Ovis aries: one gene and its partners. The protein of the gene in region 3 purifies or fractionates together with the protein of the main gene of each other region. This does not show direct contact. Links are inferred from orthologs where the notes say so. Each region holds a gene or a part of one and is shown on either strand. Other genes may lie near its edges.

What was found.
Region 1: the proteins of RBPJ (region 3) and FHL1 purify together in Homo sapiens (affinity purification with western blotting; 4 studies listed by BioGRID and IntAct, with this or other methods). This does not show direct contact. The link is inferred for Ovis aries from reciprocal best matches to the Homo sapiens genes RBPJ and FHL1.
Region 2: the proteins of RBPJ (region 3) and MAML1 purify together in Homo sapiens (co-immunoprecipitation; 12 studies listed by BioGRID and IntAct, counting the BioPlex papers as one, with this or other methods). This does not show direct contact. The link is inferred for Ovis aries from reciprocal best matches to the Homo sapiens genes RBPJ and MAML1.
Region 4: the proteins of RBPJ (region 3) and NOTCH2 purify together in Homo sapiens (affinity purification with mass spectrometry; 3 studies listed by BioGRID and IntAct, counting the BioPlex papers as one, with this or other methods). This does not show direct contact. The link is inferred for Ovis aries from reciprocal best matches to the Homo sapiens genes RBPJ and NOTCH2.
Region 5: the proteins of RBPJ (region 3) and RITA1 purify together in Homo sapiens (affinity purification with mass spectrometry; 4 studies listed by BioGRID and IntAct, with this or other methods). This does not show direct contact. The link is inferred for Ovis aries from reciprocal best matches to the Homo sapiens genes RBPJ and RITA1.

Annotation. Positions count from the first base shown.
Region 1 is NC_056080.1:99,026,208-99,030,284, reverse strand, and holds the start of FHL1 (four and a half LIM domains protein 1), read left to right. Parts: upstream 1-1,270; coding exon 1,271-1,292; exon of another isoform or gene 1,293-4,077.
Region 2 is NC_056058.1:1,319,112-1,322,627, reverse strand, and holds part of MAML1 (mastermind-like protein 1), read left to right. Parts: intron 1-1,143; coding exon 1,144-2,123; 3' UTR 2,124-3,516. UniProt on the Homo sapiens protein: Acts as a transcriptional coactivator for NOTCH proteins. Has been shown to amplify NOTCH-induced transcription of HES1. Enhances phosphorylation and proteolytic turnover of the NOTCH intracellular domain in the nucleus through interaction with CDK8.
Region 3 is NC_056059.1:46,288,022-46,292,312, forward strand, and holds the start of RBPJ (recombining binding protein suppressor of hairless), read left to right. Parts: upstream 1-1,491; 5' UTR 1,492-1,599; intron 1,600-4,291. UniProt on the Homo sapiens protein: Transcriptional regulator that plays a central role in Notch signaling, a signaling pathway involved in cell-cell communication that regulates a broad spectrum of cell-fate determinations.
Region 4 is NC_056054.1:97,348,144-97,351,659, reverse strand, and holds part of NOTCH2 (neurogenic locus notch homolog protein 2), read left to right. Parts: intron 1-46; coding exon 47-235; intron 236-1,398; coding exon 1,399-1,512; intron 1,513-2,320; coding exon 2,321-2,434; intron 2,435-3,516. UniProt on the Homo sapiens protein: Functions as a receptor for membrane-bound ligands Jagged-1 (JAG1), Jagged-2 (JAG2) and Delta-1 (DLL1) to regulate cell-fate determination.
Region 5 is NC_056070.1:61,273,299-61,276,353, reverse strand, and holds the end of RITA1 (RBPJ-interacting and tubulin-associated protein 1), read right to left. Parts: intron 1,588-3,055; coding exon 1,080-1,587; 3' UTR 1,059-1,079; coding exon of another isoform or gene 742-1,058; 3' UTR 517-741; downstream 1-516. UniProt on the Homo sapiens protein: Tubulin-binding protein that acts as a negative regulator of Notch signaling pathway.

The DNA of each region.
Region 1 (4,077 bases), on a different chromosome or scaffold from region 3:
CAGTAGATGAGACATGGCATGACCCAGAGTGAAGGTTGTCTCCTTTCTTAAACTTCAATGGCCAAGGCCACTTTTTAGGAATCCAAGTGGGCCTATGTCTCCGTTTCATATGTGTCTTGATTAATGCTTCTCGTCTTTAAATTCAGTTTTTTAACACACAGCTTTCATGGGGAGCAGATTGGGGAAGAGAGTAGGGAGAGTGGGGTGGGGAGCATGGTTGCTCTTTTAAACAGGGTGGCCAAAGAAGATGACACTGCAAAAGTGCCTTGGAGCAAAGCCTTGAAGGGAGCAGAGGAGCAGCCATGAGAGGCTCTGTGCTGAGGGGGCGGCTGTGGGGACCTGAGGTGGGGTGTGTCTGGAGGGCGTGAGGCTGAGGGGGGGCAGGCATGAAGCCAGAGAAGGGTCAGGACAGAGGTGGGGGACCGACTCACAGACCATCCTCAGGACCTCAGCTCCTCCTGGAGCTCCATCCCAGTGACCAGCCTCCAGCCAGCGGATGCCCCGTGAAGCCATTAGAGCATGTTAGGATGCCATGTTTTTGTCCCTATTTCTACTTTGACTCTCCCTGGCAGTGAAAAGCAAGAGATGTTGTTTATAGGACAGTGTCCCTTCCTTGGCGTACATAGTAGGTGTATGTGCGTGTATGCCGCTGCCTCCTGCCCCACGCTGACTCTAAGGAGATACGTGGCTAGAATTGCCCTCTTCAGTATTCTGCTGATCTCTGGTGCAGACCAAGGAGGACAGAGATAATGCCCTTGATCTGTGTATTCTTCATGTCTAATCCCTTTTAATTACACTGGTAACATAAGTTTATCTCTTATAGTAACTTTTATCATTAACAGCACAAAAACTCTCCAGAAGACCAAGTGCAAGCTCTTTAGGCATATAAAGTGGATTAATGAGGGTGGCTCAGCGTTAAGGTATGCCAGGGCTGAGTCTAAATTTTATTCCGGTACAGGGATCACTTTCTATGTGGCCTCTCTGGCTCTGGAGCTAATTTGGATGCTGAGTAGCCCCACAGGTATTTATATGTAGTGTTTGGTATTTTTACTGGGTCCTATTCTTCTCCCTTGGATCACCTAAAATGGTTAAGAATTTTCTAGTGGGATTAAGGTTGTGATCTCTGGGGAGGGGTGGGCCATCTGCTCTTGGTTATTTTTGTGTTAGCCACTTCCCCTTAAATGTATGTTCACAACTGAGCCGCAGCCTTATCAGCTGGGCTCGAGGGAAGACTGGCGTAGGTGCTGCTCCTGAACTCGGTGTCTGAGCCATGGCTTCCCATAGACACTCAGGTAAAAGCTTCATATTCTTTATCTTCTAGCAAGCACAGTTTTATTAGGCACTGAATCCATCATTGGTCTAAAAGATACTTTTCGATGAAATTATTTTAGTCTTGTCTAAATAGTAAATAAGTCTAACTCATCTCTTTTCTGTCCTTCTTCAACTGCTGTTTTCAAGACAAAAGATTATTCTTACTCAAGTAAAATCATCAGTTTGAGTAGTTTATTTTTTAATATCTAAATATACTACTATATCGTACAGTTTCCAGGACATCTTATGAAGCTGGAGGACACTGTGAGGAAAGAGATTTTCTTTGTTATTAGGATTTTTTTGTTGTTATTTATAAGATACAAATCTTCATCTTGACAGTGCTATAAATCGAATTTAAAGTATTTGGAAAAGATCAATCAGATACAGAGCTGGAAGGAGGAAGAGTTATAACTAAGAAAGTCCATACTGATTTAACCATACCTTCTCCTTTTCTGAGCTGTGTTTTGAGTCTTCCCGAAGAAACAGCTATGATACTTTTGATATGACATGTAGATTATTAACTGTTCTCATCAGAAAAGGGGTCAAAGCTTCAGAACCTCTGGAGCATCATTATCATTACAGTGAGAGTTTTCCTGAGTTTGAGAAAGCCCTTTGGCCATGGACAAGACTCCCGAGATAGAGCCAAAGGCCTGAAGGATGGCCAGTTTCCCCAGAAAGCCCAGTTTTCTGGAGTTAGCCTGCTGCCTCTCTCTCCTGCAAAGCCAGGAACGTCACTGTGGTTCTGTTGCCTTCTGCCTAAGTAACAGTTCCCTTTCTTAGCAACCAGGCACTTTGTGCCATCTCCCAGCTTTCAGATTAAGGAGCAAAGTAATTATCAGTGGCAGTCTTTTGGAAAAAACATTTTTTAAAACTTGTAATTGACTGTCAATATTTAAACAATGGAAATACTTTTAAACTTCTCTTTTGGTATTTTAAAACAAATACACTATAATGGAATGCTTCCCTGGTGGCTTAGACAGTAAAGCATCTGCCTGCAATGTGGGAGACCCGGGTTCGATTCCTGGCTCGGGAAGATCCCCTGGAGAAGGAAATGGCAACCCACTCCAGCACTCTTGCCTGGAAAATCCCTTGGATGGAGTAGCCTGATAGGCTACAGTCCATGGCGTCGCAAAGAGTCGGATATGACTTCACTTTCACTTTCACTTTGATATTTTAAAACAAATACCCTATAACGGAATGCACTGCTTTAGGGAATCAGTATGCAATGTCTTCCTTGTTCCCAAGTGTTCAAGAGCAGTCTGTTTTTCTCCCCACCCCCAGGAGCCACTTTGCAAACATGGCACCACACGCCTGAGATTGTGGTAATCGGCCAGCATACACTGTCTTTGGGTGTAGACAAACTAGTCAGCTGTAGCAATTGTTCCAGTGGACCTTGAACGTGTGTTAACTAGTAGAGTAACTCCCTGTTTTATTTACTAATTAAATGACAGAATAGGGAAATATATTTCAAAGGTGACACGTTTATAACACACCCAACCTTGGGTTTTTAAATGGCACCAAATCCTGACATAACTTTTATGTAAATCTGAAGGCTCTAACTCTGACTAGACAAACTACTGGCACCGTCTAGATGATTTTTTAAATCAGGAACTATTTTAATAGTTTATTTTAATCAGAACTCATCTTCTGTTGCATTAGGTTCATAGGTCCATGAAAGCAGTTGAGAAAGAAGTGCTCACAGAAAGAAGCCCCATAGTGCCCTGAAAAGGACTTTGTGTGGACAGAGTAGAGGCTCTGATGACTGGATGGATCATAATCCATTTTTAGGGACCATCCACATACTGAGAGGACCTTTCAAGGACAAGAACTGATGCTTTTGTATTGAATATTTACCGTTTGCAAAGTTCTGCAGATTTCATTCCTTACCCTTTGGCCTTTAAAGTTGCGGATGGGGCAGATGGGAGGGCAGTGAAATCATGTAGCTCCCTTTCCAGGCCGGAATATAAAGGGAACAGTGGGCAAGGTGGGGAAGACCCAGTGAACTGGCTTCCGGAAATCACAGGAAAGTGGTAGTCAGAAACCTCGTTCAAGGGTGAAACTGAACGTTTTGTAGTTTGAATGACTACCAAACAACCGCCTGCTACTTTGCCACAACTAGAGAAACGGAAAACACACGTTCTGTTGGCTGCCAGGTCAGCGGGCCTTTCTCTCCGGTGTGAAAGGCAGAATGTGCTGCATGTATTGCGTGCTACGTTCAGAAAAGCTGTGTCAGAACAGAGCAGTTCTGGGAGAGGATCTGTCCAGGGAAAGTTCAGGGGCACGGAATGTTTCATTGGACCATCTCTACACAGCCCCCTCCTGATCCCAAGTGTCATCTAAACTGGGTTACCTGTGACCAATGAGCCAAAAGAGGAATTCCAGGCATTTTGGAAGCCTCCTGAACGTGGTCTGTTTGTAGGGCAAAAATGACTTTCTAATTTTCTGTGAAATTCTCTGAAAGCCCACTTTTCAGTGGTGACTCAGGAGCCCGCCCTGCGTGGGGTGGGACCTCCAGGTGTGCAGCTGTGGCTCCTGCATAAGCCTCCCTTTCATCAGCTGAGGCTTCGCTCTGTTGAATGTTCTCAGGAAAGCAGTATACCCTTTCTTTAGAAGCCAGCATTTATACATGGAGTGACTAATGTCCTGTCCTGGAAATAGCAATTAACAGACCAGAAATAACCTATGTTTTTTTCCCATTTGAGTTGCTGTTCATTGTTTATACTGTATATTATGCCACTCGTGGAAAGTACATAGTTAGAAAAATGC
Region 2 (3,516 bases), on a different chromosome or scaffold from region 3:
GGTTGATCTGGTGGGGGCAGGAAGCGTTCTGAGGTCTCAGCTGTCATGTCTCAGATGCGTGAGAGAGCCTGACCAGCATTGTGCAGGCTGTTGCTCTAGAAATACTGAGAGAGTTCAGCTGATAGATGCAGAAAAGTCCAGGCCATACTTGCTTTCCTAGCTCTTGGACTATCTTCAAAACCTGTGCTTTCCTCGGTTAGTGACTCTTGCTATAACATGTCCTGGTGGTGGTGCCCACAGCCGTGCTTCCAGAGGAGGCTGCGTGGGTTTTACGTTATGCTGACAGGGGACTGAAGTCTGTGGGCAGCTCAGAAGCTGAGCCTTGGCCAGCTTTCCTGCCTTTATCCCATTTACTGTTGCTGTGTGTTGTCAGTGGGAAAGAAGTGGGTTATTTCAGCATTTCTCTCTTTTTCAACTCAGTCTTTAGTTAGGTGTTAATGGAAAGCAGAAGAGGAGAAACAAGGCGTACTCAGCTATGGCCAACTCCTGAACAGCCCCTCGCCTGCGTGCACAAAACAGTGTCTTTGTTAGTGCTGTCACCACGCATCCAGTGCTTGAGACAGTCCCACACGGCAGGGTCCCCGAGGACAGGCCCCTGCCTCCCCAGCGCAGCCTGCGCCGCAGAGCAGGCGCTCGGTGCACGCCTTCTGATCGCCTCCCTTCCGCACCCTGCGGTACCACACCGTGTGGGCCCTCATCCGAGTGATCCTGTCAGTCCCCGGCCAGCGAGGCCTGAGCCAGCCACAGTCCAGTTACCCTGCGGCTCTACAGCCCTGTCCCCGTGTGGGGGCTGCAGCCCCTCTGGATCTGGCCAGGACCATCTCTCCGTTTACCCCAGACGCTCTCCCCACATCCTGGCCACAGAGTTTGCCCCTTCCTCTGTGCCTTTTCTTCCTTTAATGTACCTGTCTTAATCTCCTTATCGCTCCAGACCGGCCTCCATTCCATGCTGTGGGGAGCCTTTGGCCCCCAGGGCTCTCTTCTCTAAGGTTCCAGTGATCGTGCGTGTCTGGTGGGGTGTCAGAACACTGCCCTTGCCTTGCGCGCCCGCGGGGTGGCCGTTGCTGCGTGGGTCTTAGCTGTGTCTCCTAGTGGAGGTGAAGCAGCGCTGGCCTGGCTGACAGCACTCTCTCTCTCTTCTAGGGCCCTCTTCTGCCATGCCTGGCGTGAACAGCTTGGGTCCATCTAGCTCCAGCTGTCCCCGAGTGTTCCCTCAGGCTGGGAATCTGATGCCAATGGGCCCTGGACACACTTCGGTTTCTTCTCTCCCCTCAAACTCAGGCCAGCAGGACCGGGGTGTGGCTCAGTTCACTGGCTCCCAAAGCATGCCCCAGAGCAGCCTCTACGGCATGACTTCCGGCATAACCCAGATGGTTGCCCAGCCTCCACCACAGGCCACCAACGGACATGCCCACATTCCGCGGCAGACCAGCGTGGGCCAGAACACCTCGGTTTCAGCTGCCTATGGACAGAACTCGCTGGGGAACTCTGGTCTCTCCCAGCAGCACAGTAAGGGGACCCTGAACTCGGGTTTAACTAAGCCACAGGTCCCAAGGGTATCAGCAGCCATGGGAGGCCAGAATTCCACCTGGCAACATCAGGGAATGCCAAACCTGAGCGGCCAGCCCCCAGGAAACAGCACCGTAAGCCCGTTCACTGCAGCCTCCAGTTTCCACCTGCAGCAGGCCCACCTGAAAATGTCCAGCCCGCAGTTCTCTCAGGCGATGCCCAGCAGACCCATGGCCCCCATGAGCTCAGCAGCTGTGGCAGGGTCCATGCTGCCCACTGTGAACGCACAGCAGAGGACCAGTGCCCCTGCCCCAGCACCTCCCCAGGGAGCCCCACAGCAGGGCTTGTCGGGCCTGAGCCCGGCAGGGCCAGAGCTGGGGGCCTTCAGCCAGAGCCCTGCCCCAGCCATGGGCGGCCGGCCAGGCCTGCACTGTGCCCAGGCCTACCCCGTGCGGACCGCAGGCCAGGAGCTGCCCTTCGCCTACAGCGGGCAGCCGGGCAGTGGCGGGTTGGCCAGCATGGCTGGGGACGCCGACCTGATCGACTCCCTGCTGAAGAACAGGACTTCGGAGGAGTGGATGAGTGATCTGGACGACCTCCTTGGGCCTCAGTAGCAGGAGGATTTGTGGTGTTTTCAGTGTTCACACAGCCTGTATTTTTGTTCTCAGATTCAAGAAAGAGTAACTACTTTGGACCAAAAGCCCACAGCCCAGGGAGCCGGGCAGGCGGAGCTGAGGCCTGGTCCTCCCGGGGCCGGGGGCCCACGGCTCCCAGCCAGCAGTTGGTATGTCGGGCTGGCCCGCCCCCATCTGCTGGTGTCACTGTATGGGGTTGGCACAGCACGACAGGGTTCTACAGGTGGTTTTTTAATCCAGAAGACCAAAAAGCCAACAGTAAAACCCCACGACGCCAGGTTTATAAAAATCTGTGCTATCATTTTGATCTAATCCAAGATTTCTCCACTTGGCCCAATGTTGGGACAGATTTTTGTTGAAACTTTATAGTGGAACTATTTGCAATTTGTAGCATAGAAAAGATTTTTTAAAGGTTTTAAGGTTTTAAAACAGATTAGGGTAGGTGGTTAAAATCTATAAGTGGCATTGGAAACTTAGGGTTTCCTTTTGATTAAGAGCCTTTTTTATTCCTGCTGTTTGTCAGCTTTCAGGACAAAGAGAGGCTCACTGGAAAATTGCATGTGCCAAAAAGGAACAGGATGCCGTGAGAAGCAGAGCTAGTGGCAGAGATGCGGTCGTTACTGCAGCCCCGCGTTCTCCCAGAATGCTGTTCTTCCACGTTGGCATTTAGGAGGACCTGGGCTGAGGAGTCCCTTCCTCCCGTGTTTTCAGAGCAGGACCCCAGGCTAAAGGCTGTAATACAAACTGGGGCTCCTGTGTCTCTCTTGTTGTGACTCCCCACCATTTGCAGTTTCTCTGGAGACTCGTATTTACTGTATCAGGAAGGTGATCATTGTTGAGTTCTGCACAGGTGTCTTTTCTTTCACCCTGTCTTCATTTCCCATAACCGTTCTTTCTGCCTTCCGTTCTTTATTTCTCCAGCCCAAGTGGAAAACCTCCTTATGGCACTAATTTACTAGATTGGAGAGGAAAAGAGTCGTTAGAACTCCCCAGGAAACCCTAGCATTGTAAGGAGGCGGGTATCCCCTCCCCAGAAAGCAGAGGTTCAGGGGAAGGAGGAAAGAGGACCCAGGCCAGAGGAGGGGCCCCACTCCGTTCTGCTACTGCTGCCACTGCCTCTTCAGACGACTTGCACTTTTTAGAGAGAATTGCTTTGTAACACTAACACATCCTTTCTAAAAATTCAAGTGGATTTCTCTTTTAAGGTCTATGACTGTTTAGGTCTTGACTAAGCTAAGAGTCCACGTAGTAGTATTACCTGTGGGCCGTTGTGGAAAGTGAAGACGGAGAGAGCACTTCAGTATAGCAGAAGCAGTAAGCACAGGGGGAAACTCTTTCAGATGGAGTACTGGAGGGAAAGCAGTACACTGAA
Region 3 (4,291 bases):
ACCCCATCACTATAATGTGGCTAATACAAACTTCATAGGGCTGTTGAGAAGATGAAATAATAAAGGTACCTCTCCTGATATCTGAGTCCCCCAGTAAGAGCTTGACCCTTTGAATTCCAAACCCAGCTCCACCAGGAGGGATTTATTTGACCTTGATCAAGTTTCTTTTACTTCTCAGTCCGCTTTCTGGTCTGTAAAACAAGGAGAATGAATGCATGCTAAGTCTCTTCAGTCAAGTCTGACTCTTTGCAACCCTATGGAAAGTAGCCTACCAGGCTCCTCTGTCCATGAGATTCTCCAGGCAAGAATACTGGAGTGGATTGCCATGCCCTGCTCCAGGGGATCTTCCCCACCCAGGGATCAAACCTGCATTTCTTACATCTCCTGCATTGGCATGCGGCTTCTTTATCACTAGCGCCACTGGTAACTTTCACATGGGGAGAAAATAAAAGGGAGCACGTGGCATGCTGAGCACTTGCTTGGCAAAACAGCTCACTAGCTGTCTAGGCATCATCATGACTATTGTCGCTGGAGGTCACAGAGCCGGCGAGAGACAAAATCCATTAATGAGCCCTAGTCTGCCTGCCTCCGAGTACATGTGCTTCAGCCTGTTGGGATATACACACAACAGACATGAGACAATCATTTTCAGAGTGGCTCTGGGAGAGGATTCTGTTGGCAGTTAAAGACAAGTGGGTGGCAACAATTCCAGAGAGCTTCCAGAAGCCATGGGGTTGCAGGAAGATATTTAAAGGAGGCAGGTGGCTGGGCAGATGGGGGTGGCAGGGTTTACACACTCAGGACAGCCGGGACAACGGCTCAGAGGAGTGAGTGGCAGCGGCTGCAAGATGCTGGCTTTGTTGGAACAAAGCAGCAGGTGAGGGCCACAGAGAGTCCACACTCCAGGCACTCAGGGAGGGCTGAGGCAGAATAAAACCCTTGGCAGGGAGACGGCAGCCCCATTTGCCTTTTTCAATCAATCAACCAACAATTGAGGGACCAGCCCTGAAACAAAGCCGGGTCTCCCTCCCTCCCTCCCATGCAGCCTCCTTTCAAACATCAGATCATAGTTGAACTTCTGAGAACTCCTCCTCCTTCCTGAAGCCACGAGCAGTTGTACAGAAATTCATTTTTATTATTGAGCTCGTATTTCTGCTTTTGCCATCACCGCAGATCAGTTTGGGTTTTGTCTCCCAGCCAAGGGTTTTTCATATTTTCCAGATCACTCCAAAGTCTGTATGTGCTGCCTGGAGCAGGTTTAAGGAACAATCTGAGATTTCTTTCTGAATAAGCAGTTATTTGTACTTTGTTTTGCTTTTCTTAGTTACTGAAGAGAAACAGTGACATAAAGAAAGCACTGGTAACACAGCGCTGAGCAGCACAAATGTCAGTGGTAGTGACTTTCAAACAAATAGTCACATTGTCAGGCGCACAAGGGTCTCATTGAGGAAATCTGTGCAGTGATTGCTAACGGGGTTTAACACTTTAGGCACAGTGTAATCAAGGAAAGAACTGTAAACTTTGCACAGAGTGACCTCGGAAGGGACTAAAAGGAAATGCCAACTCAAGATCCCAGCGTACATTTTCAGACCACTCACAGTATGTTGGGGGGGAGGGTGGGATGGGGGGAAAGAGCCTGACAGAGTGAAATGTTGTTTATGGGGAAATGGGGAACATTCCCTAATTATTGCAATGATTATGGTAAATCCAGTTACATTCTGTTTCATTCTCTATTTTAATAATTTTAATTATGGTTCTACACAAAGCCAAAGGTTTTTTTTTTTTTTTTAATGAGATGTACAATGCATTTTACCACTTTGCAATATTTTTCTTTTAAAGGTTATTATTGTAAAGAAAATAGAATTCCTTTAGCAGAAATTTAAGTAAATACCTAGAACTCCCACCAGCCCCTTCCCGGAGCCTTTGGCATATGACAATGTGGGCAAAAGTTGTCTGTCCTGCCTCCCTATTCAGGGTTACCAAATTTAGCACATAAAAACACAGGATGTCTAGTTAAATTTGAATTTCAGATAAACTATGAACAATTTTTTCAGTATAAGCATGTTCCAAACATTGTTCAAGATCTACTAGAAAATTATTTGTTCTTTAAATTTAACTGGGGATCCTGTATTTAATGTGACCAAATCATTCCAATTGACTATAGATGTCTAGGTTTACTTCTACTTCTGGACTCTGCTCCCTATCTGATCTCTGTCTCTATCTGTACACATATACTACATAGTCCTGGGATTACTGCAGCCTTGTAATGAGTTTTGAAATGGGTCTGAGTCTTCCAAATGTGTTGTTTTTTAAAAGATTATTTTGACTATTTTGGGCCCTTTCTATTTTAACATGAATTTTACGACCAGACGGACAATTCCTGCAGAAAAATCAGTTGTCATTTTCATAGAGATTGCATTGAATCTGTAGATTGGCTTGAGGAGTACTGCCATATACATATATATATATTTTTTTTAAATATGTTTATTTATTTGGCTCTGCTGGATCTTTAGTTGTGGCATGTGGGATCTAGTTCCCTGACCAGGAACCAAACTCAGGGCCCTTGCATTGGGAGTGTGCAACCTGAGCCACTGCACCGCCAGGGAAGTCCTTGCCATCTTAATCATCTTAAATTTCCAATCCATGAAAACAAGCTGTTTTTCTATTAATTTGGTTTTTCCTTTACTTATTTCATGCTCTGCAGTTTCCAGTGCACAAGTCTTATACTTCTTTTGTTCAACTTATTCCTAAGTCCTTTCTTCTTTTCAAAAAAAAAAAATAGGTGCTGTCAATAGAATTCTCTTAATTTCATTTTCAGATTGTTGATTTCTAGCATATAAAAATAAAATTTATTTTGGTATACTACAATATTTAAGAGTGTCAGTTTGAAAACCTATTGTTCTAGTGAAATATAATTCACATTCTGATTGTCTGCTAGCAGGACATTAACTTCTCTGTGACTTTCACTGGCTTGGCTCTTTGGGAAAATGCTGCTGGCACTGGCCAAGGGACCATAAACATATAACCTGCTAGACTTGGGCTCAGGTACACATACAGAAGTGGAGGAGGCAAGCACCCTACAGGCAGATGTGCTGCGCTTCAGTACTTTACCTGCCAGGCTCCCTCACCAGACTTCAAACTCTCTGAGAGCTGTAACAAGATCTCCTGTACAATTCTCTCAAAAGCAGGTACCAGTTTGGTGTTTGCTTTAAGTATTTTGTCAGACTCATTGACTAGGTGGAGAGGGGAAAAATGGAACTGCTCAGGGGACAGAGCTCAATGGGATCTTATTTTGCTGAGGGACCTCACAGCCTACTGTCAGATTTGACTCATCCATACTCACCTTGTTCATAAAAAGAAAGGTCTGTAAGGCTGTAAAGAACTATTTATTATCTATAAACATACTGTAATATTTTTATTGCAGTCGCTTCACAGTATCTTTTTAAAATATGTGGTACAGCAAAATGTCCCTTATTGTTCTTGTTCAAGATTCTCTTGACAATTTTTAAATTTTTATTTTTTCTTATCCTTTCCATTACTGCGTCCTTAGTGGGATTTTGACTGGATTCAATAACATTTTTATATTAACTTGGGAAGGATTTGTATTTTCATAATTTTTTTCTAATCCAAGATTTTGGTATGTCTCGCCATTTATTCGACATGTTTTATTTCCTTCAATTAAATTTTATAACTTTGTTCATATACATTCTAGACTTCCCTTGTTAAATTTATTCATGACAGTATTTTTTAAGAATTTATTTTGTAATTTCTATGTATAACTCTATTTCTAATATGCAGAGAAGTTACTGTTTTTAAAAAATATTTATCTTAGCAGCCACTAAGGAAAACAAAACTAAAATTATAACTACTATGCTGCTGTTGCTGCTAAGTCGCATCAGTCATTTCCGACTCTGTGCGACCCCAGAGACGGCAGCCCACCCGGCTCCCCCGTCCCTGGGATTCTCCAGGCAAGAACACTGGAGTGGGTTGCCATTTCCTTCTCCAATGCATGAAAGTGAAAAGTGAAAGAGAAGTCACTCAGTTGTGTCTGACTTTTAGCAACCCCATGGACTGCAGCCTACCAGGCTCCTCCATCCATGGGATTTCTCCAGGCAAGAACACTGGAGTGGGGTGCCATTGCCTTCTCCGATATATGATCCAGTAATTCCACTCCTCGGTATGTATCAGGAGCAAACAAAAACTCTAATTTGAAAAGACACATGTACCCCAATGTTCATAGCAACGCTATTTATAATAGCCAAGACAGGGAAATAGCCCAAGTGCCCATCAA
Region 4 (3,516 bases), on a different chromosome or scaffold from region 3:
TCCATCGAGTGCTTTGATCCTGGTTATGGGTGCTTGTGTCTTCCAGCCAACAGCAATCCTTGTGAGCATGCAGGAAAATGTGTGAACACAGATGGTGCCTTCCACTGTGAGTGTCTGAAGGGCTATGCAGGACCTCGTTGTGAGATGGACATCAATGAGTGCCACTCAGACCCCTGCAAGAATGATGCCACCTGTCTGGATAAGATTGGAGGCTTCACGTGTCTGTGCATGCCAGGTACATGGGCCGTCGGTGTGTGGGGTCTAGACCAGAGACCTTGCACTGTGCTTGTCTTAGGCAGAGCACTCAGTACAGTGTGGCATTTCCGTAAGCTCTGTTGGCATTTAATCCCTAGCCACAGGACCCTTAGGGTTTCCCTGGTGGCTCAGTGGTAAAGAATCTGCCTGCAGTACAGGAGCCGCTGGAGACATTGGTTTGATCCCTGGGTTGGAGGCGGGCATGGCAACCCACGCCAGTATTCTTGCCTGGAGAATCCCATGGACAGAAGAGCCTGTTGGGTTATAATCCATTGGGTCGCAAAGAGTCGAACACGACTGAAGTGACTTAGCATGCACATATGCAAGGGGACCCTTAAGGACTAAGGCCCATGTTAAAATTCTTAGATCTATGGAAAACAGTCCCATCATGTCAAAACCCAGATACTTGTGAGAGAAAAATTCAGAAGATTTTTAAAATGCAAGTATACTTTGATTTAATAAAGTATTTATCATAAAAATTCTTTAAATAGCAAGCTTTCCTTATCCCCTGATATATTACAAATAGCATACCATTCCATTTATAGAAAATAATATTACCCATAATTGTATAGGAACTTGCTGTTTATCTCATGGTGAGATACACATGCTGTGTTATATCTTGGAACTCTTCTGCAGAGACTTCTGCTTAAATCCTTAGAGAGCACAGCTGAACTTTAGCTTAAAATGACAGCTGTCAGGGGCTGCTTGGCCTGATAACGGGTGCTAACCACTCTAGCCTTGGCAGGCCCTCCTGACTTTGACTTACACCCTGAGTACAACAGCATCTCTGATTCATTCAGCTGGTCCTTAGGACTGGGGACCCTGTGGGCCTGGCACTGTCCTGAAAGCAATGCCTGGACTGATCCGAGAATGTAGTTCAGTCTTTGTTGGCATGCTAGGTCTTACTAAGGTCTTTGGAGGTAACCTCTTCTCCGTCTCCACAGTGACATGGATATCCCAGAATATGCCCGTGTCTGACTGATGCTCACAGTGACTGTTTTCAATCATGGCATAGTCCTCTTTTCCCTCTGCAGAAATGTTCATACGCATAGAGGATGTAGTCAGCTTTATGAATTTGTGCTTTCTTGGCTAGAATTTGCCTTTGTCTTTTTCTAAGCCGCTTGTGTGGTCCATTTTGTTCAGGTTTCAAAGGTGTGCATTGTGAGTTGGAGATCAATGAATGTCAGAGCAACCCTTGTGTGAACAATGGACAGTGTGTGGATAAAGTCAATCGCTTCCAGTGTCTGTGTCCGCCTGGTAAGTGCCCACCACCTGCCCCTGTTTTCTTTGAAAGCACAAAGCCGACTGACCGCAGGGAAGAGAGGAGGGAGAGAATGTGTGTGGGCTCTACATGAGGAAGTCATTAAAGTGAGCGCTTTGGGATAGGAGTGTGTGTGTATAGAAGTGGGGGATTTGCTTCAGCTAGAATATCTTCCAAATCCTTTGTGGCCAGAGGTCCAAGTCTATTCTGAATGGCCCATGACCTCGCCGTCTGTGTGTACATTTCAGAAAGTTCATACCTCACGGAAGCCCTTAGTTCTAGGTTACTCAGGATTTTATTTTTTCCTGTGAGTTATATTCTTGAAACCTTTCTCTGAGATGATTATTTTTAGACATTTCACCCATGGGTACATTAATAGCACAAGTCAGTTCTTTCCAAAGAATGCTGTGTCTCTCCTTTTGCCCCCCCTCAGCCATTGTGGAAGCCATGCTGAATTTTCTGCCTTAGGCTATAGCCTCTCTTGTTTCTTCAGAGAGAAGGTCCCAGTTCCTGTGCAGCTACATTCACTTCTTAGGGGGTTCTGTCTGTATGCATTCAGTTCCTACTTTAAGTTGAAGTGAAATCTATACTGGGAAGAAAAAGAGGTGAGAGAGACACCCCGGTGCCTCTGATGCCCTGAGCCTCACCCGTTATCCCAGGTACCTGTTCAGGAGAAAAATTCTCCACGTGCTGATCCAGGGGTATAAGCCTGCCAATAATGGCCCAGCTCTTCTGGGCATCACTCTGATAGTGAGGAAAACATAGGATAATCCTTTGATGTGTGTCATCATGTGCCCTTTTAAGGATTCACGGGGCCAGTTTGCCAGATCGATATTGACGACTGTTCTAGTACTCCGTGTCTGAATGGGGCAAAGTGTATAGATCACCCGAATGGTTATGAGTGCCAGTGTGCCACAGGTAAGACTTTTTCACTTCTTATTCTCCTGCTAGGTCCATCTGCACTAAATAGGAGACTGTCCTCTTCTCGCTGCCCTGCCAGGCCAGTCTACTAATGGGCTGCTCTGTGTTTAGAAGGGGCTTCTTCCAGCCTCTTTCTTACTGCTCCCCCTGTTTCCTTCTACAACAGCTGCTTCCTTCACCACAGTGATGGCCTGGCCTGGACACTTCCATTTGATGTCCCCGTCTTTCGAGGGCAGATTTTGGCAATGGCGAGTTTCCAGCTGGCTTTGCCTTATTCCTCTACAAAAGGGAAGGATTCCAGCTGAAAACTATTTGTCATTGGGGCTTCTCAGCAGGAGGCCTGTCTCTGTGTTTCTTGAGGCAAGGGATCGAACAAAGGCTCAGAAATGCAGTGGTGGGCAAGTGCAGAGATTTTCTGCATAAATACGATTGATGCTTTGAGAGTCAAATGTGTATCTGGACAGGGGAGAGAGCTCTATCTGGGAAAGTTTAGGTCCTCTTTCCTGACTCCTGCTACTAGAATCAAAAAGAATGTTTACAAATATTATACATTTCTGATCTGTGCCGACATTTCTAATTTGGGAGTGGATTTGAATAAGCCAGACATTTCTTATTACACATTTGCTTCTGCACAGACCATTATTGTGTAGAGAAGATTAGAAATTATTAGAAAAGATAATTTCCCAGTTTCTTTTTTATCTGACTGTTTAAGAAAGAAGTTATGAATATAATTCAGGACATTTTTTTCTTATTTTAAAAAATGGATTCTTAAAAGATTTTAAGCATCATGTGCATGATTTTTTTTTGTGATCACAGAAAAGCAAACTAAGTCATAAAAATAAACAGAGAACTACTATTTCAGTAGTATTAGAATATTACCACTTATTAGGCCTTCTCAGAGTAGGCCCTGTCAGATGATCCACTCAGCTTCCTTTTCTTTTCACAAACTCTGGTCTCTGTTGGAAAAGTTTCAGGTTAGGTCCTCTTCTGGCTAAGATTATGCTTATGGAGTATAACCTTCACTGGAGAGAATTTAAACTTTGAACTCATGTTTAAAAGGGAGGAGAGTCCTTCCAAAG
Region 5 (3,055 bases), on a different chromosome or scaffold from region 3:
ACCCTCCTCAAGAAGCTCTTTAGTTCCTCTTCCCTTTCTGCCAGTGGTATCATCTGCATATCTGAGGTTATTGATATTACCCTTGGCAATCTTGATTCCAACTTGTGATTTATCCAGCCTGGCATTTCGCATGATGTACTCTGCATATAAGTTAAATTAGCAGGGTGACAATATACAGCCTTGTCATATTCTTTTCCCAATTTTGAACCAGTCAATTGTTCCACATCCAGTCTTAGCTATTGCTTCTTGACCTGCATTTTTAAAGGTAGGAAATGTACATCAGATATATGTTTATATCTGATTTCAAAACAACTGTAGCCCATATTCTGAATTCAGGAAGAACCAGCCAACCCACCAATTAGTGGCATTAGCTAGAAGCCTATGATGGGAGGAGGATCAGTTGCCCCACTGCCACGGTCGTGACTGCGACATTATTAATTTTGTTACTTAAATCAATTCAGGCCTAACACTGGTCTTTACCTTATGGGGAAAAAAGAAATTAACAAAACTCATGGCTTCGATGAGCTACTGGTATATTTAATACATGAAAATAAATATATGACTACTAAAATTTTTAAATGTCCACTCACATACCACCCAGATCCTCGTGTTCCCCGCTGGTCCACACATGGTGCCTGGGAAAATTCCTGAGGCCTCCAGACTCAGCTGGAAACTTATCCTGAGCAAGAGCTTGGCTTGAAGGGAGGAAGAGCCCTCCAGGTTGGCAATCACACTATTTATTCACACTTGGCGGTGAGACAATGTTGTGGGTGTGATGGAGGAGGTGGGGGCCCTCCTGGGGGACACCCCCTGGGTTGGCACTGATACGCCATGTGGCCGTGACAGGACTGGACACAGGTATGTCAGGGTTGACCCTCCAGTCCGTATCAGTGGGGAAAGCAGGGAGCAACCAGAGGTGGTCAGAGGGGGGGCACTGCCCACCATTGCTCTGTCTGTCCCCAGGAGGGCTCCACCAATGCCTTGTGGTCTCCCCAGGGGCCTGCCCAGCAGCGCCATTCTCTGAAACTCTGCCCCTCGCTGTGACCCCATGGGCACACCTGCAGAAAGGACCAAGAAACTCATTTCCAAGGGGGCTTTGTTTTCTGGGTAGCCCTACCTTGTCGGGGGGTAGTTGGCACTGAAACACTGACTGAACGAGCCCTGGGAGTCACCAGGGGGCTCCGGAAGGTCACCCCTGATGGGGCAGGCCTGGGATCTCGGGGCCCATTTGTGCAGGGACTACTGGCGGGTGGGTGACCTGTGCTAGGGACATCAAGGTGGGTGAGGGAGTGGGAACACTCCCGCCTCAGAGGGCGTGGAGTGTCTAACCCAGCCACGGACAGCCTCCGGGAGCCGGCCACTACCCTGTGCTCTGTCTTTGAGAGATCAGCTGGGTGAATGGCCCGCACTGGAGTCTCCCTGGGGCGGGGAGAATGGCTGCCCCTAGGGGTAGCTGGGGGTGTCCAGAAGAGGGCGTGGAGCTTTGCAGCATCACCTCTCGCCATCCACTTGGCCTCCCAGCCAGCGCCCTCCGGTCGGGAGCCAAAGAGAGACTCCTCGCAGTAAGAAGGAGTGTGGCTGATCAGTCTGGGAAGGGAAGAGAAACAATGAGCTGGGGAAATAAGCCTTGTAAACTTTCTTACCCCTCCGCCCCCCACCCCCAGCTAAGCCCCTACAGCAGCAGATGATTGCCTGTAGATCCCAGAAGTACCCACAGGGAAGCCACAGCCCTCAAGTACCACTATTCCCAGCTCTTACTATTTTTCCCTGGCAGAGCATCCAGTCCTCCTGCATCCTCCCCACCCCATCCTGGGCATGTGCCCAATTGGCCTAGTCCAGCTCAATTTGCATACCCCATCCTCCTGACCACACTGATTGGCTCAGGACTAACCACATGACCCATTCTGCCCAATGGGAGTCTCCCTTAGAATCTTTGCGTTAACTACTAGGAGAGAGATGTCTTTCTTCCACTGAGTGCTGAAGAACAGGCAGGAAGGATATAAGGGCAAAAGAGCTGGTGGCCATCTCACCTGGAATGTGTGTGAGAAAGAATCCCAACAACATTTTGAGCCCCTGTTATATGAGCCCCAAATGTCCTTTGTCTGCTGAGGCGCGTTTAGCTTGTTTGCAAGCCCAATCCTTATGTTATTTGCAACCAACATTAATATAACCTTAGTCTTCAGAGCGTTCACTTTTTCTTTTAACTCACCACTTCACCCTTTTCCTAGTGGCCCTGTCAGCCGAACCGTCTGCAGTCATGTGGCCCTTCTAACTGTTTCTGAAACTGCACAGCCAAGAACCCGGCATGTAGAGGGTGCTGTGACCTGGCCATACCACCAGAGTAGCTTTTAAAATTTTTGAATATTTACTCAGGGTTTTTCATGTATAGGCCCAGGACTCAGCTTGTCACCTGTGTTATCTCATTATTTCTCACAAAACCCACAGGACGGCAATATGATAATCCCATTTTATAGACAAGAAAACAGAGGCACAGGGAGGATAACAAGGAAGGTATAGATAAGATTCAAATCCAGGCCCCCACTCAAGGGCTCAAGTTCCTGATCACTAAGCCAGACTTAAATGCCTTCAAGGCCTCTCACTTTTAACTAGATTCATTCAGCATTTTTTTTTAAATTAATCTCACAAATGTTCATGGCATATCTATGAGGTGTGAGGTCCATGACTTTCAGCCAGAACTAAAAGTGCTCCCCATTCCCAAACTTCAAGTCTTTGAAAAGTCAACATTTTGGCCACTTGATTTGGCTGTTCAAACCCAGATCTGGTTGATACCTACGTCTGTCTGGTTCCAAAGTTTCTGCTTAATAGCATCTCTACCTCTTATGTACCTTCTAACTTGACAGCCTCTACCTGTCAGCATCCAGCACAAAGTTCCAACCTCCAGGAGAGCATGAGGTTGACTGTTGCCTTCCTGTCATGGACTTCTGTTAATGCAGCCTACAGTGAACTCAGCACTTTCAGCCACGTTGTAGATGTCAGTGCTGCTATGTCAACCTGAGCCTGCCCTGTGCTCCATGGGAACTGTCAAGTAGACATG